4 linked regions of the Pelodiscus sinensis genome follow. The protein of the gene in region 2 purifies or fractionates together with the protein of the main gene of each other region. This does not show direct contact. Links are inferred from orthologs where the notes say so. Each region holds a gene or a part of one and is shown on either strand. Other genes may lie near its edges. The genes, in order: MTA2, KPNA1, USP1 and ALKBH5.

Region 1 (8,525 bases), on a different chromosome or scaffold from region 2:
TGGGGGGAAACAGGCAGGTACTCAGGAAGGACAGGCTGAACCCTCATAAACGTTACATGAGCCCCAGGGCCACCTTCACCGAAAGCGCCATTAAGCTCCTCCCTCAGAGGGCTGCCTCACCTAGACTGTCTCAGCTGTTTCATACTCACCTGCCATGGGGTTTCCTGCCCCCACCCTAGTCTAGGCCCTGAATAGCAGGGGATTTGTCTCCCCAGCCACCTCCCTGTCACCAATGCACTCCTCTTGTCCACAGCCATTTGCATTCTTGGGCAACATTGCGAGGCTGCAGCTCCCCAGGGCCGGGGCCAAGCCCAAGCCCAAACCCTACACCATTAGAACCCAGAGCCTTTCCATCACCACCTGCCAACCATCTGCTCGGACAGGGTCCGGTTTAACAGCAGTACTGCCAATGCCTGGTAACAGGTTCCAGCCTGGAACATCAATAGCTAAGCATGGGCAGCATTTACCAGGCTTGAGGGATAGCTGAGCCACATGCCCAGGCAGCATAACAGCCAGGTACTGGCGTGGGCATGGCATTGCCAGGACAGGCAGACAGCCTCCCACCTTCCAACGTAACCCAAACGTATGGTGATCTCAGTGCAAGATCATACCCCCTCATGGGACACACCCCAGAGTGGGAAGTGGGGAGGACATTATAAAATAGAGACCCTGAGAAAAACCCCACCCCACTGAAAGGGGCCAACCTTCTTGCTCCCTTCCCCTGAAGTGCCACACCCAAAGTGCAGCACCAAATGCTCATGGGCTTCTCAGCACATGGTCAAATGCCCAGTTTGAGCCAGGGAAGGGTCATGGTAGAAATCCCTCCCCCTCAAGCACCCTAAATCAGACACACCACCCCGGCCTCCTCAAGCAAACTCCACACAAGCCACCACCACCAATTGCAGTAAAACGAGATGTCCCACAACTACCTCCACCTCCCAGCACACTCCCCAACTGTTCCACACACACCATTCCCCACAGACTCTCAAACTGCCCCACACATAACCCACCCTCCCCAAGACCAGGCACATCCCCAGCCAGGCCTCTCTTTCCCACAGCCTTTAAACCCCACAACTGTCCCAGAACTACAGACACCTCAACCTGCCCTCCAATCTCCCCAACTCATGCCCCCAAACTGCCTCATCCACAGCCTGTGCAATAGCCTACCCACAACCAGACTGCCCCCAAACACCTGATAACCCACTTGGTCAACTGCCCCACTTACACCCTACAAGCAAACTGCAGACAACAAATAAACACCTCACTGACCCTCATTCTCTAATTGCTCCCCACCCCAGCAGCCATAACCACAGCCCTCCAAATCTTATACTCCATCGAGCCAGCCGACCCTTGTCCCCTGTGGGCCTTGCACCTGATGAATTCCCTTACCCCTCCCTATGTAACCAAACATGCTTTCCCCAAAGGACTTCCTCCACCACATAACCTGCCAGTTGCCCCCTCAACTTACCTCATTCCCAAATAACAAACCCAACCCACCAGCCAGACCCTCAAGTGCTCCATTTCCCCAGAGCCTCTGAACTTCTTCGTACCATGTAACCAGCTCCCTACACCACATTCTCCTGCCCTCACATAACCAGCCCATTATCCCATACTGCCATTGTCCACCTACCCCCCCCCCCCACAACCTGATGCCAACTGCCCCAGGCCTCCAGAGCCCGTGGACTCCCCATACCAGATGAAGCCATCTCACTACCCTAGATCACCCACATTCTAACAATCCTCCCAGTCCCCACATAACAAACCCACTGCTCACCACTCCCCTACACTATCCACACAGGGGTGCAGCATGTGGGGGGGGAGGGACGGCACCTTCCTCTAAGGAACTAAGGGGGTATCACCCCCCCCCCACACACACACACAGCCCATAAGCCCTGCAGGACAGGACAGCCCCTCCCCCCCAAAAAAAATCCGGTGGAGCGCGAGACACACCAACCTGTCTGACCCCACTGCCCTCCACAGACACACCTCCGGCCGAGCCACTGACACCCCCCCGGCTCGGTCAGGCCCCGGGAGCCCCCACACCAGCGTCAGCACCGCCGTGTCCTGCTGACTCCCCAAGCACGAACGCGCTCCCCCGGCTCACCGCCCAGCTCCCTCCGCTCGGTCCGGTCCTGCACTGCTCCTCCCCCACCCCCGCTCGGTCCAGTCCAGTCCGGTCCCGCACTACCCTCCCCACTCCCCTCCGTTCCAGCCCCGCTCTGCTTCCCCCCCCCCACTCAGTCCGGCCCCGCACTGCTCCCCCCGCTTTGCTTCCTCCCCCCCCGCTCAGTCCGGCCGGCCCCGCACTACCCCCCCCCGCAGCCCCGCACTGCTTCCTCTCCCCCCGCGCTCAGTCCGGCCGGCCCCGCACTACCCCCCCCCGCAGCCCCGCACTGCTTCCTCTCCCCCCGCGCTCAGTCCGGCCGGCTCCGCACTACCCCCGCCCCCCCCCACTCAGTCCGGCCCCGCACTGCTCCCCCCGCTCTGCTTCCTCTCCCCCCCCCCACGCTCAGTCCGGCCGGCCCCGCACTACCCCTCCACCTCCCCGCTCGGTCCGGCCCCGCACTGCTCCCCTCCGGTTCGGCTCGGTCCGGTCCGGCCCCACGCTGCCCCCCAGCTCGGTCCCGCACTGACCCCTCCCCCTCCCGGGTCCACCCGCCTTTGCCCAGCTCCGTCCCAGCCCGGGGCAGCGCCGGCCCGAGACTCACCCCCCACCCGGTACATATTGGCCGCCATGGCCCCGTCGCGCGATGGGGGGAAGGGCGGGGGCGTCTGCGTCCGGCTCCGCTCGGGCCCACGTTAGCCCCGCTCCCGGCCGCTCTTCATCTCCTCCCGCGCCGCCGCCTCCTCCTCCTCACGCAAGGCCGGGACCAGGAGACTTCGGGCGACTCCGGCAGCGCTTCGGTGGTTTCCGGAAAAGGATCGGCAAGACTCGGAAATATCCCGATGCGACTCCGGTAGCGCTTCGGTGGTTTCCGGAAAAGGATCGGCAAGACTCGGAAATACCCGATGAGACTCCGGCAGCGCTTCGGGATGTTCCGCGTGAGATCGAGTTTCTCCGGAACCGTTCGGGTACTTCCGAAAGCACCTGGCGAAGCTTCGGGCACCGTCGACTAAAGCCTCTCGGCGATCGGGTCCTTCCGGACAGTGACTCCAGATGGCCGGCGCCGAGCAGGACGTCGGGTAAATCCGGAAACTGAAACTTTCGGTTATTTCCGGACACGGTCTGCCCTGCTCGGGCCTTTTCGGAGGGAGCTTCAAGCCCTGGGTTTTTAACCCTTTCTTCTCCGAAGGGCTCAAGGTTGCCCCGCCCCCCGTTCAAGGGGCAATTCCCAACAGCCTCAACTGCACTAGAATTATTTCCATACATACAGGTGCAGTTTTAGACATGTTTAGACCAAAATAGCCACTCATTTACCCAAGAATTCACCACCTGCAGCGGAGTCCTACACCGAGGTGAGATGCAGCCAACTCTGGAGTGGAGCACCACTGCACTAATCCCAGTGTCCCAAAAGAGAGGTGGAAATGTTTTCTCTGTATTCCACTGGATTTAGGGAACTAAATCTCTCGTTTCCCCCTCGGAACAAAAGCCTCATTTGCTTCCCCTCACCCCCATTCTGAGGCTGTTAAATGTGGTCTTTGTGCCATCCTAATGCAGACTAGCCCCACACCCTGCTGCCCCTTGCATGCCTTCCTCTCCCCACCCCACTGCTGTGGCCCCTGCATACAACCTTCTGTCCAGCTGCCCCCTACCACTGTTATTTGCTTGCTCCCCACCCCTGGAAGGAAAGAGACGGGAGCCCAGCCCCTGATGCCAAGGCTTTATTGCTGCCTCTCACAGTGTTCAGCGTCTTGCTGCTCTGGCGCAGCTGGGAATGTAAACAAAGTGGGGAGAGCAGTGTCCTGCTTCTCCAGGCTTGGTCCCAGGTTTGGGGGCAGCCCTCAGGCCCCTAGAGAGGAGAGTGCCCCCAGGTGGACAGGTCCCATCACACATACACATTCTGGGAATGGGGCTACTGCTCCACCATGGGGAACAAGGGTGGGTATGGACAGCCCCAACCCTAAGGCCATGCTGCCTCCATTAACACATCCTGCAGTTCCCTGACCCATGAGTTCCCCTGCCAGACCCATCCCTTGCCTCCAAAGCAAGAGTCCCAATCCCAACACCCTCCCAGATGAGCCCCTGGGCCCCAGTGGTGGGAGCTGCCAACAGGCCCTTGGCCCTGCCTCACCACTCTGACCTGTACCAGGCCCTGAGCAGAATTTAGGCCTTTTCCCCAGTGTTAATGAATCAGGTCGCATTATTAGCATGTGTTAGTGCCAGGGGGTAGGGAACCCTCTGGCTGGGCCTCGCTCACTGAGATTCATGTGCCAGGGCTGTCCAGGCCTACAGGCAATGAGGCTTGGTCCCTGTAGCATCTCCGGCTCAGACACAGCCTCCTGCCTCCTGGGAAGATAGGGAAGCAGAAGAGAGCGAGCAGCTATGGGTGAGGCTGCCCCCCAGCACTCGCCACTGGAAGATGCTGGTGTCCTTGCCCCCCAGTGAGATCAGATAGCTGTCATCATTGGTAAAGCGCACGTTAGTCACATGGCTCCCATGGCCCCCATACATGTGGCTGGGCGCCTGCAAGAGAAAACAAGGAGTGGGGTCAGGGGTAGGGGCTACTGATGAAATCCCATCACCTCCAGGCTGTTCCCTAACCTCTGGTCCAGGCCCTTGGGCTCTGCCACTACACCCAGGACCTCCCAGAACCACCGTGATACCCAGATGAGACCCCCCTATTCTGCCCCAAACTCAGACAGAGATTCCCCTGCCCAAGATCCCATAGAGACTTCCTGATCCCCTGGGATGTCCCCATGTCAAAGACCCTCTGGGCATCTCTGGTCCCCAAACTCTCAGGGCAATACCCAGTGAATGAGCAGAAGAGCAAACAAAATCCCTAGTTAATCCTTCCCCTTGTGTGCCTCCTCTCATTTTGGCATGGGTTCAGGGCTTAAACTCCCCTATCCCTGCCAGTCTCACCTTGGCCCTGGCGCAGGGGTACTGGAACAGATGCACCTTGCAGAAGTCGTCTGCCACAGCGACAACACGCTCATTGTGGGAGCGGCACAGGGAGTTGATGTCTGTGCCATCTGAGCCGTCCGGCCACACACCTGCGGAGCAGATACAGGATATGCACTAGCTGTTAGTGCCTCTTCCTGACTGTGGCTCTTGGAACCCCTGGGTTCCTTCCCTCCCGGCTACACTTTTCTCCTTTCCCGTTCCCGACACTCATCCTCTCCCTACACACCCTATGGTTCCCAACCCTCACCAAAAACATGAAAGCCCAGCACACAGGTGTATGACGCCCACTCCCGGTCACGGCTCTCAAAGCGATTCCTCAGCAGCTTGCAGCCGCCAGCCACATCCCCTGCAAAGGAGGCAGAGACATGCAGGGTTAGGGTCAGCTGCAGTGACCGGCACTGCCACATGAAGGTGCAACTCCTAGCCTAGGCACCAGGGGACCACGCACAGCCTTGTCTCAGGGCACCAGAATTATCTCCCCCATGACAGATGCTTATGGATGGGCCCAGGCACAATGAGGAGGACGTACACCCCGGCACCAGGGTGAGGGGCTCCTGAGTACATGCCTTCCCTGCACTCACAGTAGAGGATCTCGTAGTCTCCTGAGTTGGACATGATGAACTTGCTGTCCTTGGACCAGTCCAGGTGGGTGATGAAGCTGGAGTGTCCCTGGAGCAAGAGGGAAGAAAATGGGACTTTAAAGCCAGGTACTCAAGAATCCCCTCCCCAGCCTGAGGTGCCTCCCAAGGATGCACAACCCAAGGGCTTGGAATCACACACCCCCGGCTCCCAGTACTTCCCCCATTCTCAGCCCCCCTGAAACTCTCTTCTCTTCTCTTCCCTCCCTTACCCTTGCCCCAGTAGCCCCTATCACTCCCAGCCTCCTTCTGACAACCCTCTCTTCTTGCCCCCCCTACAGCCAGCAGCGCCTCACCGTGCAGCGACCGAAGCGGCTGTACTTGCGCTCCCCCTCCCCCACGCTGTAGATGTAGATGAAGTTGTCATGGGAGCCAATGGCCAGGAACTCACCATCTGCAGGGGGGGGAAAGAGGGGTGGGATGGGGCCATCTGTGTGCAAAAGGGGGGGCAGTGGAGGGGGTGCAGGAATGGGGGAGAATGGGAGGAACTTGCTGTCTCAGCAACATGAGGAAAATGGGGGCTGGAGGGAGCCAGCGCTGCAGTGGGGGAGGAATCTAGTCAGAATGGGCCTGCTGGGGAGGGGAGCGGGGCAGGGAGGCATGAGGGTCTGACCTGGCGAATACCGCACCACCGAGAGCTGCTCGTTCCCATCCGAGCCCCATGACAGCACCTGCCGTGTCTCTGTGTCCAGCACCATCCACCTGGAGGCACAGGGCAGGGTCAGAGCTCCCAAGGTGCCAAACATGCAGAGGCACGCAGAGGACCGACCCCACCCCAGGGAACAGGGGCAACAGAGAGGAGGTCCGGCCTTGGGGGCAAACTCAGTGACCCCTTAATCCCTGGAGGGCCAGACTCAGGAAATGGGGGCCACAGCCCGAATCTCACGGTGTTGCTTGCAGGGCCACCAGCATCCGCCGTTCGCTGGGTGTGATTCCAATGGGGTGGGAAGGGCTGCCAAGCACCCCTAAGGGGCCAGAAAGGGAGTAATGGGGGGTGGTGGGGAGTTACCGTCCAGTGTTGAGTCCCACGGCCACCACCCTGCCACTGGGGTGGAAATCAGCACAGAGCCCAGTCTCCTAGAGGGGGAGAGATACACTGTAAGGTCATTGACCCTCTTCCCCCACGCTCCATCCCCTCAGGTGGTACCTCCAGGTGAGGCTCCAGGCCTTGCATCCCTCCCCCACCCCAGGCAGTACCTCCAGGTGACACTCAAGGCCACCGTAAGCCCCCCCATCCACCCCAGGTGGTATGTCTAGGGTATGGCTCCAGGCTGCCATGGGTTCCCCTTTCCCCTCCGGGCGGTACCTCCACGAGCTCCCCCATCCCCTCTGGGCCATACCTCCAGGGTGAGGCTCCAGGCCGCTGTATGCTCCCCGCTGTCCCACATGCAGACCTGCCTGTCATGCCCGCAGGTGAGGAAAAGGCTCCGTGAGGGGTGGGTGGCCAAGCCCCACAGCTCGTCCGTATGACCCTGCAACCAGGAAGAACCTGATAGAGGCAGACAGGGGCCTAGCTCACCCCACTGCATGCTGCTCCCCATCCCATCAGACCCCTTCTGCTTTCCCCAGCCCACCACTCTGCTGCACCCCCATACTATTCCCAAGGCCCCTCTTTCCCAAGCCATCCCATGGCCGTGCAGTTTCTGTAGCTGCCCAGAATCTAGCTCCCCACGCACCTGGACAATGGGGGTGAAGCCAGTGCCCAGGCTGCCCCTGAGCAGCGCGTTGCGCGTAGTCCCAACCAGCAGCTCGTCCCCGGGGCCCTCAGCGATGGTGCGCACAGCCCCAAACTGCTCCGGGATCTGGGGGCACAAGGGGCTGATTCATCTGGAGTCACAGATCCTCCCCACATGGCTCCTATAGACCCCTTCCCCTCCTGCACATACCCTTCCAGGGCCTCCTGCCATGCCTCCAATACACCCCTGCTGTCTGTGAACTCCCACCCTGATTTCTATAGTCCCCCAACCAGGCCCCCATACACCCCATAGCACCTCCAAACACCCTCTGCCTGCCCCTGTAATTCCCCCATCCTCACCTCAGAGATCCCCTCAAATACCCTCTGCCCACCCCTGCAGATCCTCCTCCACAGCCACTGCTGCTCCCTCACCAACCACTCCAAAACTCCCTGTCCACTCCCACCCACTATAGACCCCTCACCCCTCCAAATCTTCTTCACACACCTCTGAAGATTCCCACCCCATCCACTACAGCCCCCCATCAACACCCAAACACTCCCCGCCCACCCCCACGGATGCCCCACCCTCACCCACTGCAGATCTCTCATAACATCTAAACACCTTCCTCCCACCCCTCGCCAGCGGATCCCACAGGCAAATCCCCATGTCCAAGCCCAAGCGATCCCCTGCCCAACAGATCTCTCTGCCCAACCCCCTCCAACACTGGCACATTCTGGCCCCACCCCTACCTCCCACAATCCCGTGAATCCCCTTTGCTCAATCTCACCCGTCGCATGCAGATTCTACCCTGCCCCACACTTTGGATTGGAGCCAATTGACCCCATGCAGATTGAGGGCTCCCCTTACTTCCACCTCCTGAAGCAGTGCAAGGCTGGGGCTCCAGTGCACGAGGCGCCGGTCCTTCCCCCCACCACTAAGCACTGAGCCATCGTGCCGCAGGAAGAGTGAGAAGATGCTGCCTTCGTGTGCCCGGGTCTGACGCCCGATCTGGTATGTCTCTGCAATGTGTGTGGGGGGGAGGAGTCATTGCTGGGCCCTCCCCGCACATCCCTCAATCCAGGGGATCCAGCATCCCCTCCGATGCAATGTCCCCCACCACCCTCATCCTCCCAACTGCTTTGTCCA
Region 2 (7,809 bases):
AGATAAATGTTTGATGACTTCATAATTTTTTGCAACATACTTAGGCCCTTCCTTCCCATTAGCCTTAAGTCCCTCAAAACATTAATCCGCCCTGCCAGAGTTAAATGAGCTATTCAGAGCTCTAGCTGAAGCCAAAGCCAAGACATTCCCTTTAGGGTTGCCAGATGGCTTAACCAAAAATACTGAAACATCCCCTACCCAAAAAAAAACCTGGGGAAAAAATTCTGTTGAGGAAAATAAAGGGAGAGACCAAAGTTGTTGAGAAAAAAAAAAAAAGGACCCCGAGAGTTGTTAATTTAAAAAAAAAAAAAAAAGCATGGCCCCTTTAAGAAACGCATTTAAGGCTTTTTGGCTCTAGCAGGCTGCCAACAGCCATCTACCATCTTGTCTTCCTTCTCCGGGCCAGACTGCTCCCCTGCGGAACCAGGTAAGCACTCGGTATTTTTGCCTCCTGGCCAGGAAAAAAATCAGAAAATACCGGACATTTTAGGCGTCCGGTATTTTCCGAAATTTTTTTAATGGACAGAAGGTGAAAATACCGGACTGTCTGGGGCAATACCGGACACCTGGCAATCCTAATTCCCTTGTCTGTTTCACCAGTGGAACTCAATCCTGTAAGTATACTCAGAGTCAGCTTACAGGATTGGGGCTCTGCATAAAATATGGGTGAGGACAAGAAATCTGGGTATGTATTGCTTCAATAGGACTCACATATGCATTACTGAAATTCCAAATTCAGATCCCTGATCTGGAGCAGGGACTTTAATCCAGGCAATGTTCTCCCTAATCTTTTCCATTGATGTGCAGATTTTGTTCCATCCAGGTGCAAAATACATGTTTATGTGCACCAAGGCATGTTCATGTGCACTGATCCCAGGGAATGCTCTGAACACCAGTGTTGCTCTAGTGCAGGTGTGATGCACCCTAAGGGTACTCAGAATTGTGAAGCACCTCACTATCACCTGTCATTTGTGTGAGAAAGTTTTGACTGAGCCTGCCAGGAATCAGCTCCCCAAATCCTGTTATGGACAACACATATACTCTCTTCTAGGCCTCACAGGCCCCACTGTCCCTTTACAGGTTAGTGATAGGTACACTCCAATCTTCAAATCCTCTAAGCATCCCCTTGGATTGGAGAGTCCAGCTCTAGAGCCGCTGGACACTGATGACATTCAGATTCACTGTTTCCAAAGGAACAGAACTCCTCAATTTACCACTTTCACATCAGATCAATGCTCTGCTTAGCATATAGTGCTCAGATATATGTAGAATGAAAACAAGAAGCTTATTTAACAAAGGATTCAAATTGTAGCAAGTGAAAGTACTGGAAACAAATGAGTAAATTAAATCATAATGCACATTCTAGAACTTAGAAATCGATTACAAAGACACCCTCACGTAATAAATACAGCTCACCTTATGACTTTGCAGCGTGTCGCGAGAATCACAGGTCCGATAATGAATACCCAAGGGGGGAAGGACAGAGCCTGTGGCCACGCGGCGCATAGGGTTGCTGGCCCCAGGCACGTGGCTCATGGGGGTGTGGCATATGCACGGCCCCGCCCCCGGGTGTGCAAGTGTCCCTGCCCTCTGGCACCTGGCAGGCGAATGGCCACGCCCCCTGGCACCCGGCAGCTTCAAATGGTTGGGGACCACTGCCATAGGGGTTTCTTGATCAAGAAATTTATGTTGACTGTCTACACTGCCCTCTTGTGGAAGAGCTCTTGCACAAGAGGGCTTATTCCTCTTGGGGAGAGGAATAACTCTTCTAGAAGAAGTCCTGTTTTCTGACACTGTACTGTAAATTTACAGTGTAGACAGCAGGCAAGTTTTTGTGCAAGAAGGGCTGTTCTTGTGCAAGAAGCTGCCAGTGTAGACATAGCCTGTGTGTCTCCTGTTGCCCTTTGCCAGTTGGCACCAAAGGATTCCTGGGTCATAATAGAATAGTGATAGAAATGTAGCCGTGTTAGTCTGGTGTAGCTGAAACAAAAAATAGGACTATGTAGCACTTTAAAGACTAACAAGGTGGTTTATTAGGTGATGAGCTTTCGTGGGCCAGACCCACTTCCTCAGATCAAATAGTGGAAGAAAAACTGGCCAGTGGTTAGTTAATATAAAAAGAAAAACATATTTTGTACCATCCTCGCAACTTTAAACAAAATTCCTTGTATTCTTGAATGCTGCTTGCTAAAATTAATAAGAGCTGAGTATATGCTGCCCTAGCAACCTGGGATATTATTTACTTTCTGCAGGGTCTCATCCTGAGCAGCAGCTCTGGCAATCACAGTCTACATTTTGTCTGAGACGGGGCAGTTTTTTAAAGAAATAGGGTTGAGTAGTTCAAAAATCTAGCTTTGTATTTTGCACCCCTTTTAGTCAAATGCTTTAGTTAATTTCTGCAGGCACCAAATCTCTCCCAGCTTTGTATATAATTTGTAAATTATACATGTGTAGTTGCAAAAAGAATCTGTGTACTCTTGGAGGCTGGGGTGTTTGCCAGGCTTCTTTTGGCAATGGCAGTAAGTGATTATGACTGAATGCACTCTTGTTGACACACTCAGCATCCTACTGCAACAACTGTTATGAAAGATATGCCTTGTGAAGTATCATTTGAAAATTAATAACTTGCTGGTCAATATTATGGTGAAATGTATGTAGCAACATTATATGTAGCATTATGAATTTCCCCTGTATGATATTACCACAAAAGTTGTTTAACCGGTCTAAACTAATCAAAAGAATGTGTTTACCTCAATTTGTATATATGTAGTAAATACGGTTATTGAGACTGCTTGAAGGGGAAATAGCAGCAGACAAGGCAAATCTATATTTCATTATATAAAGAGAAGAAACAGCATGAAACTTCCTTCATGGAATCCCCAGACTCCAGGTTTCGTTCTTTACCTTTTGCATAAACTTTGCTTTCAGGGTTAATTCTCAGAAGAATCCCATTTCAAAGGGCAACTGGACTATAAAAGTGAGAGGCAAAAAGTCCCCCAGTACATTTGTCCCTCTCTTTTGCTTTAGAAGACAAAAGAACCATACCTGGGACTTAATGGAGATGCACGTGTGAGAGGAAGGATCCAGACTAGAGAATTTGATCACACATATTACTGGCAACACGTGATAAGGATCTTACCTTGAACTAAGTCTAGTTTAAGTTTTAGTTACTAGAAAGCATTTCATCTTTATTTCTCTTGTAAACGTTTCTGTCTTTAATGTCACATACTTGTACTCACCTTGTACTTGTAGTTACATAAAATCTATTTTAATCTAAACAAATCCAGTGCTATGTCAAACTAAACAGTGTGGTAACTCCACTTAAAGTAGCAGATTTGAATACTAAGAACAGACCTCTACTCTCTGGACTGTCTGGAGAAGGTTGGACACTGCATAGCATACATTTTTGGGAAAATCCAAGGCAAGGAGTGTGTTGGGGTTACACTGCAAGTAATAACCAAGGATAGTGGAAGCCAGAGTGCAAGAGGGTTGGGGGCAGGCAGCAGATACAGAGACATGCTTGCAGGCTGTTCACGAGTGATCCAGGTTGTGAGCTACAACAGCAAAGCCCTAGGAGGCACCTTAGGTTGCAGGACAGGCAACGACACAATCACTCACTGCCCTGGATTGCATTCTGGAATATGATAGCAGTTAATGGTCAATTTCAGACAACACAGGCCTCCTATAAATAAACGGTTCAGCCTATTCACTGCACTACAGCCTCAGCCTCTTCCTCCAGCTGTGTGCGCTGCGGGTCGGGTGTGGTTATTGTCACAACACCGCAGGGCTGGCGCCTCTTTCCCAACCCGCTGCAGCTAGTTCCCAAGCTCTCCCGGCTGCGGGGCCAGGAAACGCGCGTAGGCTCCAGTTCTCCTTGCGCGGGGGAGGGGTGCAGGTTCTGGCACCAGGCGCAGGCTTCCTAGGAGCAGCTCGGCGCCGCCTCCCCCCCCCTGTGATTCTGGGATAGCAGGCGGCGCGCGCCACCAGCGGCGAGACGAGGCGCGGCACAATGACGCAGCCCAGTCCTCGCGCGCTGCGCTCGCGCCCGGCCGGCCCCCGCCCCCGGCCACAGCGCCTTCCACTGCGGTTCATCCACTAGCCGCTAGCGCGTGGCCGCACAGAGGCGACGCGTTGCATTCTGGGAAGCTAGTCCTCTCGGCCCGGACCTTGCCTGTCGCGTGGAACGATCGGAGAGTATCCGAGCCCCACGCTTGGCGGCTTGCGGGGACTCTATCTCCCAGGGGCCTGTGCGGCGGGGCCGGAAACGACGCGTCGAGAGGACACACACACACACACACACACACACACGCGCGCAGCCGCAGTGAGCGCTGCAGCGGCCAGATCTGGGCAGGCGGGCGAGAGGGGAGGGGCGCCCGCGCGCCTCGGGCCCGAGAGGAGAAGCCGCAGGCCGGGCCTAAGGTACCAGAGCGGAGGGACCGGGCGCCGCAGCTGCCACTGCCCGGCAGGGCTGTAGTGGCCCGGAAGAGCCGAGCGACGGGCGTGTGGGGGTCTCGGGGCTGGTGCGGCAGCCGCTGGGGAGCGGGGCCTGGGCCGGGCGCTGCTGGAGCAGTTCGAGAGCCGTTGCACGCGCTGTCACCCTGCCCGTGGCGGGACCGTTGCCGGCGGCGCGCGCGTGAGTAGGGGCAGTGCCCTGCTGAGCGGGCCCTGGGGCGGGTGCTCGTGCCGCTGTCAGGTACCGCGTGCAGCAGTCGCGGTTCGGCCTCGCGTGCCCAGTGCCGTGTGTGGGTGGAGCCGTGATAAACGAGACCTGGCATTGTTGGGGGGAGGGGGGAGGACAGTCGTTGGGGTTTCAGCAGTATCCTGTGGTAAAGTTTGTGTTTAGCTCCCGCACGGCATTGGCTTGGCAGACTGTTAAGGATGTAACATTTCCAGATTTACACTTCTGTTTCAAGAGAAGCAGTTTTCCTAAATGTGAAGAAGTTTCCTTTAGCTTCTTTTGAGTTACAGGCTGTTAGCTTGGGCACTGAAGGATAGGTCTCAATTCCCTGCTGCCATTTAATGCCAAAAACTCTAGGTTTTTTACTTTCAAATAGTTTAACTTTGAAAAGATGAATTATTTTGGTGAAAGTGAAGGAAATCTGCTTTTACAGAATGAAGTGGTGCAGCTTTTTAAAAAAATGCAATATGTGTATAACGTTTTTTGTCCATATATTTGTTGACATGTTCAAACTCTTTCTGGATTGTTAAGGAAAAATAGCCACCATATGTGGCTCACGTTAAGATGGTTTTGAGAATCACACACCTCTCACCTTGATAATTCACCCTTCAGAGTTAGGTTTGCATGTTGGTTTCAGAACTCACCATAGAGAGAAACAAGGTTGCATTGAGGATTTTAAGCACAACAGTGAGAGTGCATTAAATGAATAGAAAGATAAAAATATGACACAGAACATAAATATTTGGAGCAATATTCTTCAGCCTTCACAGCTGATAGTTTCTTTGCTCAGACTTCAGTTTCCTGGCAACTTTCATAGTGAACATCACTTCTTTTGCTTTTGTCGTTGTTAATCATGCAAAACACTTTAGGAAGTTAGTCTTAGCTGGAGCCATAATACAGTAGAAGTAGTCTTGAGTTGAGATTCCCAAAACCCACAGTCCCACAATTGAGAGAGAAGGTTGTTTTGGTTAAAAAAAACAATAGAATGGAAGTGAAGGCTATGATACAAAAATTATATATAACAAATGGAAGGTATGAGAAGCTGAGAGGAATTGTAGAAAATGCCAAGGAATGCAAGGAGAATCCTTTGGCCTGCAGAGTTAAGTAAGTACTTAAAATATATGAGGAACAAAAATAATCATGACAATGGTGTTGGTCCATTACTAGATGGAAGAGGTAGAATAGTAATGTGGAAAAAGTATAAGTGCTCAATAAATATTTCTGTTCTATCTTCTGTTTTACCCCAAATGTAGTTGGACTGTGATAACATTTTTTTCCCTTCCATTGGTATCTCTGGAGAAGGGATGTGAATGGTTAATCAGTTAACTGATAAGGTTTAATGTGTGAGTTTTATCAGTTTTGGTTTACTAGTGGGGGCTTCTGTGGGCTGGAGCACTCCAGACCGACCAGAGCAATGCCTATCTGTGGTGGGCCCAGCACATGCGCATTGTACACAAGGGCTTTCTGGCTGGCTGTGGCAGCCTCTGTGGGGAGCGGATGGAGGAGAGAAAGGAGGGGGTGCTCCAGTACCCCTGCCAGTCTAACCACCCCCCCTTCATCAGGTAAACATTATTAAACATTACATTTAATCAGTTAACTGGTTAACCAGTTAAACAGGATTTTACATCCCTACTCTGGAGGATGTTAAATTAGATATTTATAAATCGAAGGCTTCAGATAAAATTTTAAAAGAACTGGCTGAGGAGCTTGCTGAAGTGTTGATGGTAATTTTTTTCACAGTAACTTAACAGTGGCAATACTGGATTAAAACAGTGGCCCATATAGCCAAGTATCCTGTCTTTTGACAGTGAATGATACCAGATGATTCAGAGGGAAAGAACAGAAAAGAGTAATTATTGTCTGATCCATCCTTGTTGTCTAGTCCCAGCTTCTGGCAGTCAGAGGTTGAGGGACATACAGGGCATAGGGTTGAGTCCCTGACATTCTGGGCTAATAGCCATTGACTGACATATTCTACAGGAATTTATCTGATTGTTTTTTCAACCCAGTATAGTTTTGACCTTCACAACATCACCTGGCAATGAGATGCACAGATTGACTGTGTTGAAGTAATATCCCTTATGTTTTTTTTAAACCTGTTGTCTAATAATTTCATTATCTGACTTCTGGTTTTTGTTGTTTGAAGGGATAAAAACTTTCCTACTCATTTCTCCAATACCATTCTTTGGTTTCGTGAATGACCAGACAGTGATGTGGCAGTTATGTATTGTTTTTAACCAGGTACCCCCTGCATTACATGTGCAGGTCTGTTAACCCTCCCCTCACTCACACCCACATGCAGTTGACACAAGCAATAAAGCTCCTGTTCAAAAATCATTAGTTTCTATTTATGAAACCCAGGCAAAAGAGAAAGAAAAGGAGGTCAGTGTGTGAGTCTTGCAGGGAGGAGGTGGAGGGCACAATGGCAAGTGGTTTATTACAATCCCCCTGTGTAGCAACCTGTTTGTCTTCTTATATTTAGTTGTGCCCCGTTGATGTGGGTGAATAGCATTTGCTCATGAAACATGTTATCCTATGTCATGTTTTTTAGCTGTCTGATCTATGATAGCTGAAGTGCTGCAGGACTTAGGGGAAGTGGGTAACAGACTCACTGTTGCAGCTGCATCGAGGGAAAAAATGAAGGACAGGCTTTAGAGACAATACCTTGTAGAATGCAGAAGCTAGTCTTTTACCTTGAATGAAGCTCTGGGGTATACAAAGGCATGTGTTTTGTACAAGGCCAAAGAGATGTTTTTAAGTGCCTACTAGGCAGGTACAAGACACACAAGCCCTGCACGTTGCAGTTATATCTGTTTGGCCACAGACTTGGTAATCAGCAATTTGGGATTCTTGGTATTTGGCTTTGAAAACATGTGACAAAGTGGCTGCAAAGTGCAGCTCTCTTGGCCAGGCATTAGGGATGTTAAATTTCAATTTATCAGCTAATTGAGTAGTCAATGGAATTTTCATCGACTACTCGATTAGTCAGTAAGGGGGGTGCTCGCTATCCCACTGCACCTCTGCCTTTGAAATGTACAAGAGCCACCTGCGGCTTTGCTACATTTCAAAGGAAGAGGCGCAGTGGGGAAATCCATTTGCACAGGGTCCTGACAACTGTGCCTTTCCTTTTG
Region 3 (7,674 bases), on a different chromosome or scaffold from region 2:
ACTCAATCCCAGCTCCCGCCAGATCCAGGAACTACCCCCACTGCACCTCTGCGCACCTGAATTTTATGACATGAGCTGGGATTGAGCCAGGATTGTTCAGTCCCAGCTCAGACCAGGTCAAGCAGCCCCTGTCCGCAGGGAGTCCGAGCAGGCAGCCTCCCCTGCCATGCTGCCTCTCCAAGAGGCAACAGTGGTTGGGGTGGCATGGCAGGCAGCATCGCAGAGATGGTGCTGAGGGAAACTTTTAAGCCGGCCCCACCCCCTCCTGCCGCAGCAGCTCTGGTACTTCACGTGAGTTGTGCCCACAAAAGCTCATGATCCCATCTACATTTTTTTGTTAGTCTCTAAGGTGCTGCAGGACTGTTCTAGGAATAGTACAAGACTCATGTGGATGGCCCTACCAAATTCATGACCGTGAAAAATTCATCCTAGACTATAAAATGTTGTTACTCCCATGAAATTTGGTGGTGTGAGATGATACAGCAGAAGTCTCAAACTCCTGGTCCACAGGCCATCCCCAACTGGAGCAGGAATCTGGCCCACGAGTCCTGCTGGGTGGAAGGACTGTCCTTTCCCATCCCCCAAGCTCTGTCCCTTCCTGCCATCACCCCACCCTCTCTCTTGCTTGCACCCCGTCCTGAGGGATGCAGCATTAGGAATTACTGAGAGGGCCTGATGCAGGGCGGTAGCAACAGTCCCTTACCCATCTGCAGTCCCCTGGCTGCAGGAGTTTGAGACCCCTGCTATCCAGATTTCACAAGCAGTACCATGACCCTTCTATAAATAAATAACTTTACAAAACCTACACACCCTTCTCTACAGCCTCAGAACTCCTACTATTACAATACCATGAAATTTCCAATTTAAATAACAAATTATGAAAAATTGTATATAACTTAAAATCCTATAACTGAAATTGAGAAAAATGAACCGTGAATTTGGTTGGGCCCTGTCCATGTGCTACACATGGTCAGTTAGTTTTTTCTGAAGTCTTTCAAAGCAATATGAAAAAGAACCGTAATGATTTTCTATAATGTTTGAGTTATAGTCTTATAGTTACTGCAGAACTAATACCAGCATATACTTTTCATTCTAACCTGCTCCCTCCCATCACCAAGAGAGTATCATTACAGAAATTTCTGCACACCAACCAACTGGAAATATCCAGTCCATTATATAGAGAAGCAACCAAAAGTTAGTTTAGAAACATTAGACTAGTAACACACTGTATTGCTGTAGTAAGTAGGGATGTAACCAACTAAGTCAAGTATCCAATAAGCAAAAGCTTATTGGATAGTTGACTAGTCCCTCAATTAGTCGTTTCTCCCCCTCCCACCGCCTCTATGGCTAGGTCTAGACTATACTCTTATCAGAAAAAGCTATGCAAATTGTGCTTCGCAATTTGCGGCGCTTTTTCTGATTGCTTTTCTGGGCCAAATGACAGAAAATGGCCATCTAGAACAGGCCAGATGGCAGAAAAGCCTCCTCTTTCAGCGGAGTCCTTATTCCTCATAGAACAAAGTATGCAGGTCTCCCTGAAAAAGCGTGTTTCGCTTTTTCTTTTTTTGCGGAAGAACAAAGAGCAAATTCATTTCCTGCACGTGGTGGAGTTTTTCCGGGATCCCAGAAAAACCCACCAGTCTAGACGTACCCTATCAGAGGCACCAAAGGAGAGGAGCAGGAGCCAGTGCTGGGGGGAACCAACTTAAAAGCCGATTCCTCCCAGCACTGTCTCCGTGGAGGGCAGGGGAGGAAGCAGGGACCAGGTGTGAGCCTGGAATCAGCTCATTCCTGGCTCATACCCAGTCCCAGACACTGCACCTCTACCTTTTACATGTATTAAGAGCCTACTGGATCTTAATACCTTTAAAAGGCTGGTGCGCAGAAGGGGGGACCTGGCACAAGACAGCTGATTTCAGCTCAGGCCAGGTACCCGCTGCACTTCAACATTTAAAAGGCTGAATCAGCAGGGAGGACCCTGCATGAGCCAGGAATCAACTGTCCCAGCTTGCACTGGGTCCCCTCCCACTCCGCTGTGCTTTTTCAAATAACTGTTATTTGAAACCTAATTTAAGAAAATGAAGTGATTGAGTTAACGCTTATGATGGATGTTAATACACTGTACAGGCAAGATTATGTCTTTAATTTGTGAAATTTATTCTCTGTTGGAGCAGTGCAGCAAACAGAATAGTTAAGTTTTCAGTAGTCAAGTTGATAAGACATCCATTTATTAAAACGATTTTAAATCGCATGTGTCCATTTTGGGTACAACATAAAAATACTCATTAGAATGCTATGTTATAATCAAAAAATCTTAAACTGAAACTCTTACATACATTTCTGAGCCTCTGTACTCTGAACTCTTTTGTTCATTTTCTTGTGAATCTGTAAAATCCAGTGCTCTTTTAGTTTCCTTTTTTTGAAAAAGCTTCAGGGAAAGCCTGTTTTTCTTTGACGGGCTACCTCTCAAAAGCCCAGCCGTGTCAGTCGGTAATACACCTGGCATTTTTTTCTCCTCACAAATAATAATGGGGATGGGGAATAAGATCAGAAAGCTGCAATCAGCAGTTACACCTGTCAAATAGATGTTACATTTACTTTTACTATGGGATGCAGCCGTACATGCAACACAACTTCCTGACAGTACTTTCTAGCAGCTCAGACAGGAGTGGGCAAGAGCCGTTTCACCTTCACCATTAGATAGCGGGGGACAGGCAGTGACCAAAACCAGGAAGTTTCTCCTGGCTGTGTCCAGACACCTGTCCGAAAGGGGCTGCAGCCCGTGCCCGCCTCACAGCAGACACAGGCTACCCTGGTAGTTCCAGCAGAGAAGCCAAGCAATCAATGAACGGGCTGGCCGGACCCACCCCGGAGCGAGGACTGCTGAAGTTTAGTCCCGGGGAAGCCCGCCCAGCCATAGCATCTCCTGCGATCATTAACCCCGCCTGCGGGTTTGGCCCAGAGGCGGGAAGGCGCCCGCTGCCCGGCACCACTTGGTTCCCACAGGGCCCAGGGCGCACCCAGTTAGTAAGACTTCCAGACTAAGCCCTTTACGCCAGCCATTCTCTCGAGCCTCCCCCCATAGTACGTGTGTCGTCCCCCCGGGATCCGTAAGAGCCGCTAGAGCGGGAAACAATTACCGGCTCCCGAACCACATGTTGAAGCGGGAAGAGAAAGCCCCAAAACTCCACCGGCCCCACAGTGCGAGGGGGGCGCCTTCCCCCAGCTTCCCGCTCCGCACCCCCGACCCGCAAGGGATGGGGTAAGTCCCCTGACTCCTGGGGGGAAAGGGTCCCGGCCAGCGCCGCGTCTCCTCACCCGCTACATCTTCGCTTGGCTCCGAGTGCCGCCGGGAGGGGGCACGCTCTCCCCGAACCACCCTCCCTGGTTGCTATGGTGACTACAGGGCGCCCCAGTTCCGTGCTCCCCACAACGGGAAAGTTGGCGGGTTTTCCCCAGCGTCAGGACCCGACACCCGCCCCCTCGCGCCAGGGCGTGTGCGGCCTCCAGGAGCAAACGCCAGCACAGAAATCCCACTAAGACCCTCAGGCCCGAAAGGGCAGCATCGGCCAATATCGCTTCTTCCCCTCACAAAAAAACCTGGTAGGCGCGTTGGGCCAGATTACGGGGCGCACTAGGAACCCCGAGGCAACTCTCTGAATCCTAGATTCAGGCATTATTACGGCCAGCCCGCGGGGTCCTGGCGGGGCGCGCGCGTGTAACGGTAGAGGCCTGGTCAGAGGGCTCGAGCCTGAGAAGGGGGATATGGGACGGGTTAAACCATCCTATGCTTCTGCCCGCACCCCTCCCTTTCCAAGGAAAGTGACTAGGTCCTGACACGCGGTGTAACCCCCCCCCCCAACACCAATAAGGGCGCGAGCAGATCATCCAATCAGCGTCTTGCGCGAGCTGCGGCGTCCTACGATGCGGTTCAAATGGTCGGGGGGGGGGGTTAACGGCTCTCAGGAAGGCAGCGAGGATTGGCGTACAGGGGGCAGGCGGAGACCCCGTTAGTCCAGTGGGCAGTTCCCCCCAGTCTGAGCACTGCCGCCAGCCAGGCCGCTCGTTGGCGGGCGACCGTTGCAAAGCAGCGGCTTGAACTAAGCGACTCTGGCGCAGCTCCACCGCACTTCCTTGCCCCCCCCCAAAAAAAAAATCACGAGGCCGGCCCCCGCCTCAGCGCGCACGTTGGGTACCGTAGCGGGCTGGGCCCTGCGCTCAGGCTTTATCCCCAGAGCCAGCTGGGCGGGGAGGGGAAGCTGGGACTCCTGCGTCAGCACTCGCCTCCCAGCGCTGGGCTTTACGGAGAGCAGCACGCGCGCAGGCGGCCCCCTCCAGTCAAGGTGACTCGAGCAGGCGGGTGCCTTTGGGCGGGAAGCGCCGTGTGGTAGAGGGGGAAAAAGGCAGAACGAGTGTGCGAAGGAAAAATCCTCCTGGCGTCCGCTAGGTGGTGCCCACAACGTGGCTCAAATCAGCACGTGGAAAGCAGTCCTCATATTTCCCCCCGCATTTCATCCAGACCCTGGCTCGTGCATTACCCCACTTCTTCCAAAGCAACATTCAAATAGTAGTTGTTGTTTTTTCTTTTAAAGTGACGTGCAAATGTTTGTACCTCCAGGTTTGTACCTCCCCCCCTCCGTCTTCCTTATGTCAACAGCAACAGACCTGAAAATGTGGTGGAGATTTTCTTTGAAAATAGTTTTGTTTGTTTTTACTTTTAGAAATCTAGCTTTCGTGACAGACCCGGGACAATGAAGAAACTAGTGTGATTATCAGAGAGATAGCAAGGTATTGCATATGTGAGTTAAAGCAGGGCAAGACAAGGTGGGAATCTACATCACTTTGCAGCACAACAAAGTCCCATGTGGACACCATTACAAAATGTAGTATGGAGAAAGTCCTGGAATGTGGGTTAGCACAATACTCTGCAAGAATAAGTGCAATTCTATACTCCAGGACCTTTGCTGAATGTACAAGTGTCCACACAAGGCATTATTACACAGCAAAGTGTTGCATTATAGAGTTTGACTTGGTTTTAACTCCCTTGTAGACATGACCAAAGGAAATTAAACCTTATTAGTTGACAAGACAGTTATCCAGACTTCTTAAAATGTTGGGTTTGTTTTGTCTATACCTATTTAAAACACTTGGGAAACTCGATTTAATACTCCAGTCTATTCAGTTATTATCTGAGGAAGTTTCTAATGCACATCTGAGTCATCCAAGAAGTCCACTACCAAAAAGGAAGTAAGAATTGGCATCCCTTTAAGGCTCAAGAAAAAAATAAGCAGGAAAAAAAAATCAAAACTTTGTCATATCAAAGCAAAAAAAAAAAAAAGACACAATCCCATTTTTCTTTTGCATGTCACTTTTTCAGGAAAAAAGAAACAACTTAAAAATCAAGTAGAAAATAGTTATATTCAAGGTCTTATAGTTAGAAAATGTTAAAGGGCTAGTTTTGAATTATCTTAATCCAGGATCAAGTTTGTTTAATATTTTTCATGTTATGTAATTCTAGAAGTTACATCAAATTTAATATAGACAAAACAGTAAAAAGAAAATGTACATCAAATATCAGGTCCTATTACTGTTTTGTGTAAAGGAAAAAAACACCCATAAGTACTTCATCCTTTGACACTAACTGCCAAAATTTTAATTATCTTTTGTTTCTTTTATCTGAGTAGTTAAAATACACAAGTATTAGATTTAAAAGCTATTATCTTCATCTAAATAGGATGGATTATATTAGCAAGATGAACAAAAAAGTTTTAAAAAATTCACCTTTTTGTGTGTGTGGGGGGGGAAGCTCTTCACAATTCCTACAGAGAGTCTTGATACATGAATGGCACTCCAAGTGCTGCATCTATTAATGCAATATATGCCATCAAGTGCCACCATTGTCCTTCTGTCATGGATATTGGACCAATGGACAGTCTCTTACACAAATCAGACATCAGGAATGGAACACACATAAACCTTCAGAGGAACGCGTTACCCTCCCTGGACATTCAGTAATGGATTTGAAAGTAGCCCTCCTTCTACAATAGAATTTAAAAAAACCTGTTACAAAGGGAGAGAGTTGAACTGGAATTCATTTGTAAATTCAGCACTATTAATTTAGGATTGAATAGGATCTCAACTGGTTAACGTATTACAATGGCAATTTTCCCTCCCTGGATATTTACATCTCCATACAAAAAGTTGTGAATGACCCACTTCCATCCTCAGTTGATTAGCTTTATTAACACAAGCAACTTCTTCCTTATATCCCTGCTTCTGTAACTTTCACTCCAATTTAGGGATGTTAAATTCCAATTAGTTGATAGGGTGCCTCTGCCTTTGAAATGTAGCAACAGCCCTAGGGTGTAAGACTGCAGGGAACCCCACGTCATTTCAAAGCGGCAGCACCGCAAGGAGCCCAGAATCAGCTGGGGACTCCCCCGCTGACCCCAAGCTCTGTGCGGCGCTGCCACTTTGAAATGCTGTGTGGAGCCCAGCGTCAGGTTCTTTGCGACATTTCAAAGCGGGAGCTCCACATGGAGCCCAGGGTCAGCAGGGAGTCCCTAGCTGATCCTGGGCTCCACGCAGCGCTGCCACATTGAAACACCGTGTGCAGCCTGGGGACACTGCAGCTGCATGCAGTGTTTCAAAGTGGCAGCACTGCGTGGATCCCAGGTTCTGGCCCCAGCAGCGCTGCTACTTTGAAGTACCCCCTCCTCTCACTTCCCCTGAATGCCTCTTTCTGATAGAGGTAGCAAGGGGGGGAAGCAACTAGTCAACTCAATTATCCAATAAGCATTTGCTTATTGGATAGACGAGTAGTCTTTCACATCCCTACTCCTATTCATCTGATGAAGTGGGTTTTACCCACAAAAACTTATGCCCTAATAAATCTGTTAATTTGTAAGGTACCACAATACTCCTTTCTCCACCCCATATAAATAGTTCATTATGACGCTAACCTCAAATTAATTACACCTAGGTTTGGTCAGTTCTTGAATGGGGGAAATATTGAATTATTTACACTATTTATTGCTGCTACACCAAACAGCGGTCACACGTTTACCAAAACAAATACATTTTAACATCCCTAAGTATAATTCCTTTCTGCATTTTGATACTTGATACCTAAAGTATAAATAGTGCATTTGGCACTTTTCAGTGTAGGGTAGGTATCTCAATTTAAGAGAATATAATTAATTTTAATTACAAAATTAAACAGTCATCACAAATTACTTAAGGTGTAAATTACATCTAATGTAAATCCAGGCATGTCTCCTGTCACATGCTATTTGTATACTATGCCATGCAAGTAGGATGACCAGCAGAGTAATGGCTGCATGTAGCTCAATGGGATTTGATCATCTTTGATTAACCCATGCATTATCCCTGGCTGGTATGAGTGTCAGAACTCAACCCAATTTACTAACCATATTAAAATAATTGCATTGAAACCATTTTACTTATCTGGAATCATGGCAGTTGTAGGGTAAATTGAGGCAGCCCATGGTATCTTGCTGAGAACTGACAAACTAAAATCTGAAAGTATCAGGCGAAGCCTGAGAAGCATACAGTACAGCAGTTACTGTGACCCTGGTTCCCCTGGCAACCACATTCCAAAAGGGCCTCACTTTGATAAGGCATGTACCAAACAACTGCGCGGGATTGTTTTTT
Region 4 (7,607 bases), on a different chromosome or scaffold from region 2:
TGACCCCCTGCAGCAATCATTTTGCAAGCCAAAGCATGACATGGTATTATACGCACACTGCCTTGCTGCCAGCATGCACGTTTACCAGCTCATACAATAGCTAAAATACTTCCCTTTGGCATTGCTGAAAAAGTTAGGGATATTTGGCTATCCGTGTCAAATGAAGTCTGCAGGACTGCCGTTAGCTTAAGGGCCGTACTATAAAAGTTGATCATAAAATTATGCACTCCCATCATCGGACTTCCTCCTTCCTGTGGCACCTAAAAACCCACCTGCTCCACAAAAACACATGCAACTTAACTGGCTGTTCCCTGTGCCAACCTCAACATTCTTTATGTAGTTAAGAGAGGAGGCATGACCCAGAGGACAGAAAAAGAAATTAGTAGGTAGGCTCTTCCAAGTCCCAATCCTGGCTTTACTAGTGACTTGCTGCATGACCTTGGGCAGATCATCTGACTTCTGTGGCTGTTTTCCCATCTGTAAAGGGGGAACAGGGAGAACCTTCCTGTACCTATGAGACAGGGCTGCTGTGCAGTTTATACTGGGACTACACAATTTGCACTTGCATACACAGGAGATCTCAGAGTATTCTGCACAAAGTCAGCTAAGATTTCATATCCCCACTTTACAGATGGAGAACAAAAACGAGGCCACCTCACCTCTCTGTTTACAGTCACACAGGAAGTCAGGATTTCTGGGTTCTATTCTTAGCTTGGTCACCAACGCCTAAATCAGTTGCTCCATAACAAACATACTGCTGGGCAGGGGCTCCATTTTATGTCTCCCTGTGTATCCTGACCCTAGATAGCAGTCAGCGTCAATCCACTAACATTCCACACGCAGACAGATTCTTATTGAGGCCCCTGCAAATGGGCTTGTCTTCCTCCTAGGCCTAGCTGCGTCACTGTCTGCTGCTCGAGCTGAATCACTGCTCTCACCTGACCCTCACTGATCATGAAGCCTCAGTCCCAAATTTCTTTCCTTAATCCTGACACTCAGTGGAAAGCCCATGTGTTTATGATGCAATATAAACAATTCAGGCATGTTAAAAAGTCTTGGGGGTAGCCAGGTTAGTCTGTAACTTTAAAAACAAGTAGTCCTGTGGCACCTTAGAGACTAACCAAAAATATATAGAATCACGAGCTTTGGTGGGTTTAAAAAAAAATAAAAAAAAATCAGGCATGTATTTTTGCTGATGTTTGTTTGTGTAACTTGTGTCTCTATTAAGCTACTAAGGAGACTCAGGTTTAGCTGCTGAAACTCAGAGGCCTTCCACTTAGTTACCTTAGTACAGTGACACTTCCTCTCCTCACTGGCAGGAACAAGACGGGTTCGGAGACTCTGATGGGCTTGAACTGGAACTTACACCCAAAGCAGAGCGCAGAGTCGCTGAAGAAAGACACAGAGACGATGGGCCTCTCAAAGATGTGGATAGGGTCCACGTGGGAGACGATGCAGCCACCAGGCTGGTAGTCGTTGATCACGGCACTGTTCACAAAGCCCTCAGGAATCACCCTGTGCTCCACCAGCTTCCGGATCACCAGGTCATGCACCCACTCAGGGATGGCATCCACTTCCCCCTGCGGGTACAACCTTTCCTGACCAGGGCCTCGCCTCTGAAGCTGGGACCCATACGTATAGCCCTCTCCAAAGAAATATTTGTTCCGAAGAGGGGCCCTGTCCACCGTATGCTCTTTATAGAGGCCTTTCTCAGCTCTAGATACCACGTCCTCGATCCGAGCTTCGATCTTGGCACATTCATCTGGGCTGAAGAGACGAAGCTGCCGGATGCCACTTTTGACTTTCCGGGCCTCCTCCTCTTCCTTCTGCTGCTCTTCATAGTCACTGGGCTCAGAATCTGAGTCCTCATGGTACTTGCGTTTGCGCTCTGTGGCAGCAGCACCCCCAACTGCCCCATAGGGGGACTCTGTGGGTTCCCGCAGGCTGCTGCCTTTGTAGTTGTCCCGATAAGGCATCATGGACTTCAGCTTCTCTCGCAGGTCTGTGTAGCCACTCCCCGCCATGGTGCGTTTGCAACCCACCTCCTCTACTGATCTTCTCGGTGCACGACTCTTTGGGTTAAAGAGTGGGAAGTGCTGCTGCTATTCATGGCCTCCCTGTCCTGCTGGGATAGCTCCAAAAGGAAAGAGATCCACAGAGCAGATTCTATATTCCAATTCCACACACAGGGCACCCACCCAACTCACTGCTCTGGTGGTGGTGGGGGTGGGGTGGGGGGGTAGAAACCTTTGATTCAGGTAGCTCAGCTCCACGCTTCCATAGAGCGCCCCGACTCCTTGGCGGGGAGAGGGCCAGGCTCTGCTCCAAAACAGGAAGTTCCTCCCTTTCTTTTGGGTAGGGGAAGAAGAGAGGTCTGGTGCGCTGCTCCACGCCGGGTGCCCCCCGACACGTGCGTGTGTGGGGGAGGAGGGAGGGACTGGACGCTCACCTCTCGCTCAGGCTCTTCTCCGGTAGCTGCGTAGGGAAAGAGGAGAGGGAGGAGGGAGGCCGCACAAGGCCAAGCCTCCCCTCGTGGCTCCTAGGGCCGGGGCCCGCTAGCTCCGTCCCCCCGCCACTTCCTGGCTTGCAGGGGGGGCCCGGGACGGGAGCGCGCAGGTCCCCCGGCCGGGCCGGCGTGGGAGCAGGGCTCGGCTGCAGGGGCCTCCCTCCAGGCCAGGGGGGAGCCGCCTCCTGCCGCAGGGCCGGGCGAGGCCTCCGGGCCGCCCGCGGGCTGTCAGCTGCTGGGCCCCACGCTCTGCGCCGGGCGCCCGCCGCCCATGGGGCTCGCGCTTCAGGCAGTGGCGGAGCCTGGCACGTGCCCAGCTGCTGCCCCGGCTCCCGGCAGCCCCCGGGCCGCCGCCTCGCTCCCCATCGCAGCAGCAGGAGGTGGGGCGGGGGAGGGGGGGGGTTGCTCCGACGCGCTCGCGGACGCCGCTCGGACTCCTCGCTACGTCACCAGGAGCCAGCCCGACATTATAAATAGCTCAGGGGCAGCCTAGCGCGCAGGCCGCGCACTGCGCAGGCGCGGACCCCCCATAGCCGGCCCTCTGCGCATGCGCGCGGCGCCCGCCGCCTCTTGGCTGCCGCCGCGCTTCACAGCCGCCGCCGCTTGGCCAAGCCCCCGAGACTTTTTCGTCCGGGTGGCCCGGGAGGCGGGTGGGGCGGAGCGAGTGACTGAGGGCGGTGTCGTTCGGTGAGGGCATCACCGATCCCACAACAGCGCTTCTCCCCCACCCCCCCGTTGCGGTTCAACTTAACCTACCTGTTCCCCCGGCTCGATGCTGATTGGTTGAGCTGCCCTGAGGAGGCGGGCACAAAGGGAAAAGTCTAGCTCATTGGTCGCTGTGAGACGGGGTTCTGCGTATGCAGAAAGTTGCGTAGAGCTGTGCGGAAAGGCGGAGGACCCTTATGAGAGTAGGGGGCTGGGGTGTCTATAGAGGTGCCTGATGGGGTTGGAGTTGAGAGCCGTGCCTAGACCCGCGCTCGTTTCCCCGTAGCAGTGTGGGCGATGGCGGGTGCACGGGAGCAGCCTGGCGGAGATAGGCAAAAAGAGTCAGGCATCAGGCAGGACACCCCTGCCTTGGAGCATCTGCTGCTCCCTGCATGGCTGCCACATGGCACTGGCAGTTCTGCCAGGGGTAAAGTGGGAATGATGGGAACAGACCACGGGGCACGTACCACCCCTAGGGCATAGGCGTGCACTCATGGGCTGTGTTTACACTGGGCCACTTATTCCGGAAAATCAGCCGCTTTTCCAGAATAAGCTGCAAGCTGTCTACACTGGCCCTTGAATTTCCAGAAAAGCAACGATGCTCTACTGTACAAAATCAGCCGCTATTCCGGAAAAACTATTCTGCTCCCGCTCGGTCATAAGTCCTTATTCCGGAACACTGTTCCGGAAAAGGCCCAGTGTAGACAGCCCAGTAGTCTTTTCTGGAAAAAAGCCCCGATGGCGAAAATGGTGATTGGGGCTCTTTTCCGGAAAAGCGTGTCTACATTGGCCACGGGCGCTTTGCCGGAAAAAGGGTTTTTCTGGAAAAGCAGCCTGCCAATGTAGACGCTCCTTTTCCGGAAAAACTGAAAACGGAATAGTATTCCGTTTTAAGCATTTCCAGAAATTCATGCCAGTGTAGACACAGCCATGGGGAAAGTTACCCACCCCTGAGTTCTGGGTACCCAGCCACCCTTACATTGGAGACTGAAAGTACAGAGATGGGACAGGGGTTTGCCCCTTACAATGCAGGCCCAGGTCAGGGGAGTCTCTGCACATGTTCATTCTCCTTCCAGCATCCCTGTGCATCACACCTTTTTTTGGTATCTCAGGAGCATTAAGCCCTTTTGAGTAGCAAAGAACTTGCTTTTTAAAAAAAGCCCTGGTGAATCAAGGGATTTGTGTATAGTACAATAATGTTACAACCCACCTCATCCAGTTTTAGTGTGATCATCCTTTCAGAGACTTTGGGACTGAAGGACATAAACTTTTGTGCCCTTTTAGTACAAAACCCTGTACTAGTCTAGGGAATTAGACTAGAAGGCTAATATGAATTCTAAATAATTGCTCACATTACCAGTAGATCATAATGTTAGATTCCAAACAGAAAGTGGCTAGTGGTGACCTTTTATCTCTAGTGTACTATGGGAGGAACAGAAACTAGCTATGCAGAATCAAAGAGGACAGGCGCTTTTAGGTTCCTGGGAACACCCGGAATGTCACTGACTGTATTCATGTGCTGAGAATAGTAACTCACTAAGTCACTGAAAATGAAAAACACCACAAGCCACAAAAACAGGCTGCAGGTGGCAAGTTCATCTTACAGGCTGTCCAGGCCACTGAAGAAAAAATATCAACCTTGAACACAAGCCCTGAACCTTTGCCTTAATCTGTTTTAGATCACAACTGCAGTTTCCTGGCCTGTGCCCAATTTCTACAGTGCACAGAAATGAATCATAAACAGAGCCCTCTTCAGGAGATATGTGAATATACATTGCACCACCACCACTGTCCTCAAGCTACCATCTTGTGCTCCAGCAACTCAGCTTTCATTTTAAAAGAAGCATATTTCTAGCTTTCAGGATTTAAAAGAAATCCTTCAGAATGTGAACCAACCATAACCGAAGTGGTGATGGGTACCTGAGTCTGCAGAGCCAGAAACAGTAGCTCTGAGAGATGTGAACTATCCCATTCAGCCCAATGGGGTGATTTAACTGGACTATCCAATACTGGTAATTTAATGTCACCAGTGTTAATGATTTCTCTGCTGATCAAAGAAAGGAGGGGGATGACCCTTTTATGAAAACAAGCACAATGTGCTGTGAATGGGATTTCAACTGAGCGGAGTTTGGTTTGTGGGTGGAGCTTGGAAGAGAATCTGTTTCCCTGCCCTGCCCAATTTAACCTGTGAGGGTAACATTGGTGAATTTCATAGTTCAGCCTGGGACTACACTGGGAGCCAATGGGCAGCATGTGGACCTCTTTCAGGCAACTGGCACCAGCGGGGGCTCTGGTTGCGGCCGTTTCCTATGCTGTTCTGTGCAGGTTCTTATCTTCATCCCCATGGAATCTGAGCGCCTTCCAGTAGAGCATTAAGTGTCATGACTGACATCTGGCACATGCGCTTTGTTCAGCCTCATCCCAGGGCAGAGTTGTGCATGTCAGGGTGTATTTTGGTGTGGTAGGCCTGCATTTGGTTTTTTAATGGCCTTGCTGCTTTGTATATATGTTAGAGAAGGCAGGTCAAAAAAGTGCCCCTTGCAATTGCAGCAGAAGGTGGTGAGCAGTAGGGATGTTAAGTTTAGTTTAATCAACTAATCGATTAGTCGATGGATTTTCAACCCCGCTGCGGCCCTGCCTTTTAAATGTATTAGGAGCCTGTTGGTTCTTAATACATTTAAAAGGCTGGTGTGCAGCGGGGGGACCCGGCACAAGCCAAGAATCAGCTGTCCCAGCTCGTGCTGGGTTCCCCCTCCGCTGCACGTTAGCCGTTTAAATGTATTAAGAGCTGACAGATCCTTAATACATTTCAAAAGCAGAAGCGCAGCGTCTGGGACTGGGCGTGAACTGGGAATCAGCTGATTCCTGGCTTGTGCCTGGTCCCTGCTACCTCCCTGCCCCCTGGGGAGATGATGCTGGGGGGAACCGGCACTGGCTGCTTCTCTCCCCCTTGCTGCTTGGGATAGAGGCCCCCCAAGGCTGCAGGGAAACAACTAGTCAAGGAACTAGTCAACTAGTCGCTTAAATCCCTAGTGAGCAGGCCTGCCGACAGGGGCAAAGGGGCCTGGGGTTCAGCAGCAGTGGCGGGTGGAGCCCCAGGACTTACAAGCCTCTGCAACGTGTGGTTCGGGCAGCGCTGAGAGCTGGCTGCCCCGGCCTTGCCCCTTCTGGGACCACGGAGCTGGGCCCCCACACACACATTCGCCAGGGGCGTGCGGAGCCTCTCGACTCCCCTGGTGATCAGGTTTGGGTCCTTGGTTCCGGAGGGAGTTCACTCCACAGGCGTGGACCAGCTCCCAAGAGAGCTCTGTCGCTTGTCCTGGCTGAGCTTTCTTCTTACAGTAGAAAGTTCAGCGTGCGGGAGGAGCGGTGTTGTCAGTCGTGGCTCTCATCCCAGAGCTGTAGCTAATCTTCTAGGTGCCCTGAGCCCAAGCAGGGGTGACTGATGCTGGTGGGGGAAGGGGAGGCAGGGAGGACCACTCAGAGCGGCAGGGAAGGGGGCACGTGGGGGCACCTCGTTTAGCAGTTAAAATTTGGGAGAGCATAGGGAAGCAGTATGTTTTCTGAGTGCTACCATGAGTCAGCTGCGAGCCCAAGCGTGCAAGTCTTTAGATCCCTAAGGAGAAGAGGAGACCCTCCCCTGAACCTGTGCCCTGCTTGGTTTCATTCCAAGGCTACAGTCTCTTCTTTGCAGCCATGTTTCCTTTGAAGAGGCCCTAACTCCTTCAACTCACCCTCCAGGGAAATGCTGGGCCAAGAAAGCTGATGTTTCTCAGGCTTCTTTTTCTCAGAGGGGCTGTCTTTATAGGCGTTTTTTAAGTAAGATTTTTAACCTCCGACTGTTGCTCTGTTTCAGCCTCACTCATCCCAACAGGGGGAAGTGCTGTCTCAGATGACATACTGGGCTCTGTCTCCTTGTCTCCTCTGGGTGTTAACAGTCAGAGGCTGTGTGTGTGCAACTTGAAAACAGTCAGAATCACGAAGCAGCCGGATGAGCTCGCATGGCAGCAACCATGTTTCTTAGAAGCCCTCGGGCTTGAGGGGTGGCGGTGGGGATTAGGAGGGGCACTGGACTGGTAAATGGCTTCATAAGATTGCAGTGCACGGAGAGATGGGAAAGTAGGTTATTACTACCTGACACAAATAGGACGTTGCTATCACTATAGACCAGAAGGGGAGAGACTAAGAGAAACCGAGGGAAAGGTTGTTTGTGAAATAGGAAGAGCATGGTGAGTAAAAGTCGCTCCCTGTATCACCTCATGCTCTCTTCTCCTCCTTTAGGGTAGGTCATGCTCTGAAACAGGTACATGCATAGCGATTTCCTTTCTCTGTAATTTCTCATCTCTCTTTTGATCAAATACCCAGGCACCTGTAGTTAATAATACTTCACACTTCC

Evidence for each region.
Region 1: the proteins of KPNA1 (region 2) and MTA2 purify together in Homo sapiens (co-immunoprecipitation; 3 studies listed by BioGRID and IntAct, with this or other methods). This does not show direct contact. The link is inferred for Pelodiscus sinensis from reciprocal best matches to the Homo sapiens genes KPNA1 and MTA2.
Region 3: the proteins of KPNA1 (region 2) and USP1 purify together in Homo sapiens (co-immunoprecipitation; 6 studies listed by BioGRID and IntAct, with this or other methods). This does not show direct contact. The link is inferred for Pelodiscus sinensis from reciprocal best matches to the Homo sapiens genes KPNA1 and USP1.
Region 4: the proteins of KPNA1 (region 2) and ALKBH5 purify together in Homo sapiens (co-immunoprecipitation; 3 studies listed by BioGRID and IntAct, with this or other methods). This does not show direct contact. The link is inferred for Pelodiscus sinensis from reciprocal best matches to the Homo sapiens genes KPNA1 and ALKBH5.

What each region holds. Positions count from the first base shown.
Region 1 is NC_134721.1:36,551,609-36,560,133, forward strand, and holds the start of MTA2 (metastasis-associated protein MTA2), read right to left. Parts: upstream 3,233-8,525; 5' UTR 2,737-3,232; coding exon 2,709-2,736; intron 1-2,708. Other genes in the region: EML3 (echinoderm microtubule-associated protein-like 3), read right to left, coding at 4,427-4,624, 5,024-5,154, 5,313-5,411, 5,647-5,734, 6,000-6,097, 6,317-6,405, 6,713-6,780, 7,044-7,175 and 2 more. UniProt on the Homo sapiens protein: May function as a transcriptional coregulator. Acts as a component of the histone deacetylase NuRD complex which participates in the remodeling of chromatin.
Region 2 is NC_134711.1:138,989,417-138,997,225, forward strand, and holds the start of KPNA1 (importin subunit alpha-5), read left to right. Parts: upstream 1-4,291; 5' UTR 4,292-4,419; intron 4,420-4,435; exon of another isoform or gene 4,436-4,633; intron 4,634-7,809. UniProt on the Homo sapiens protein: Functions in nuclear protein import as an adapter protein for nuclear receptor KPNB1. Binds specifically and directly to substrates containing either a simple or bipartite NLS motif.
Region 3 is NC_134719.1:16,470,504-16,478,177, reverse strand, and holds the start of USP1 (ubiquitin carboxyl-terminal hydrolase 1), read right to left. Parts: upstream 3,473-7,674; 5' UTR 3,319-3,472; intron 2,575-3,318; 5' UTR 2,507-2,574; coding exon 2,337-2,506; intron 1-2,336. UniProt on the Homo sapiens protein: Negative regulator of DNA damage repair which specifically deubiquitinates monoubiquitinated FANCD2. Also involved in PCNA-mediated translesion synthesis (TLS) by deubiquitinating monoubiquitinated PCNA.
Region 4 is NC_134726.1:34,042,899-34,050,505, reverse strand, and holds the start of ALKBH5 (RNA demethylase ALKBH5), read right to left. Parts: upstream 3,253-7,607; 5' UTR 2,248-3,252; intron 2,135-2,247; 5' UTR 2,025-2,134; coding exon 1,285-2,024; intron 1-1,284.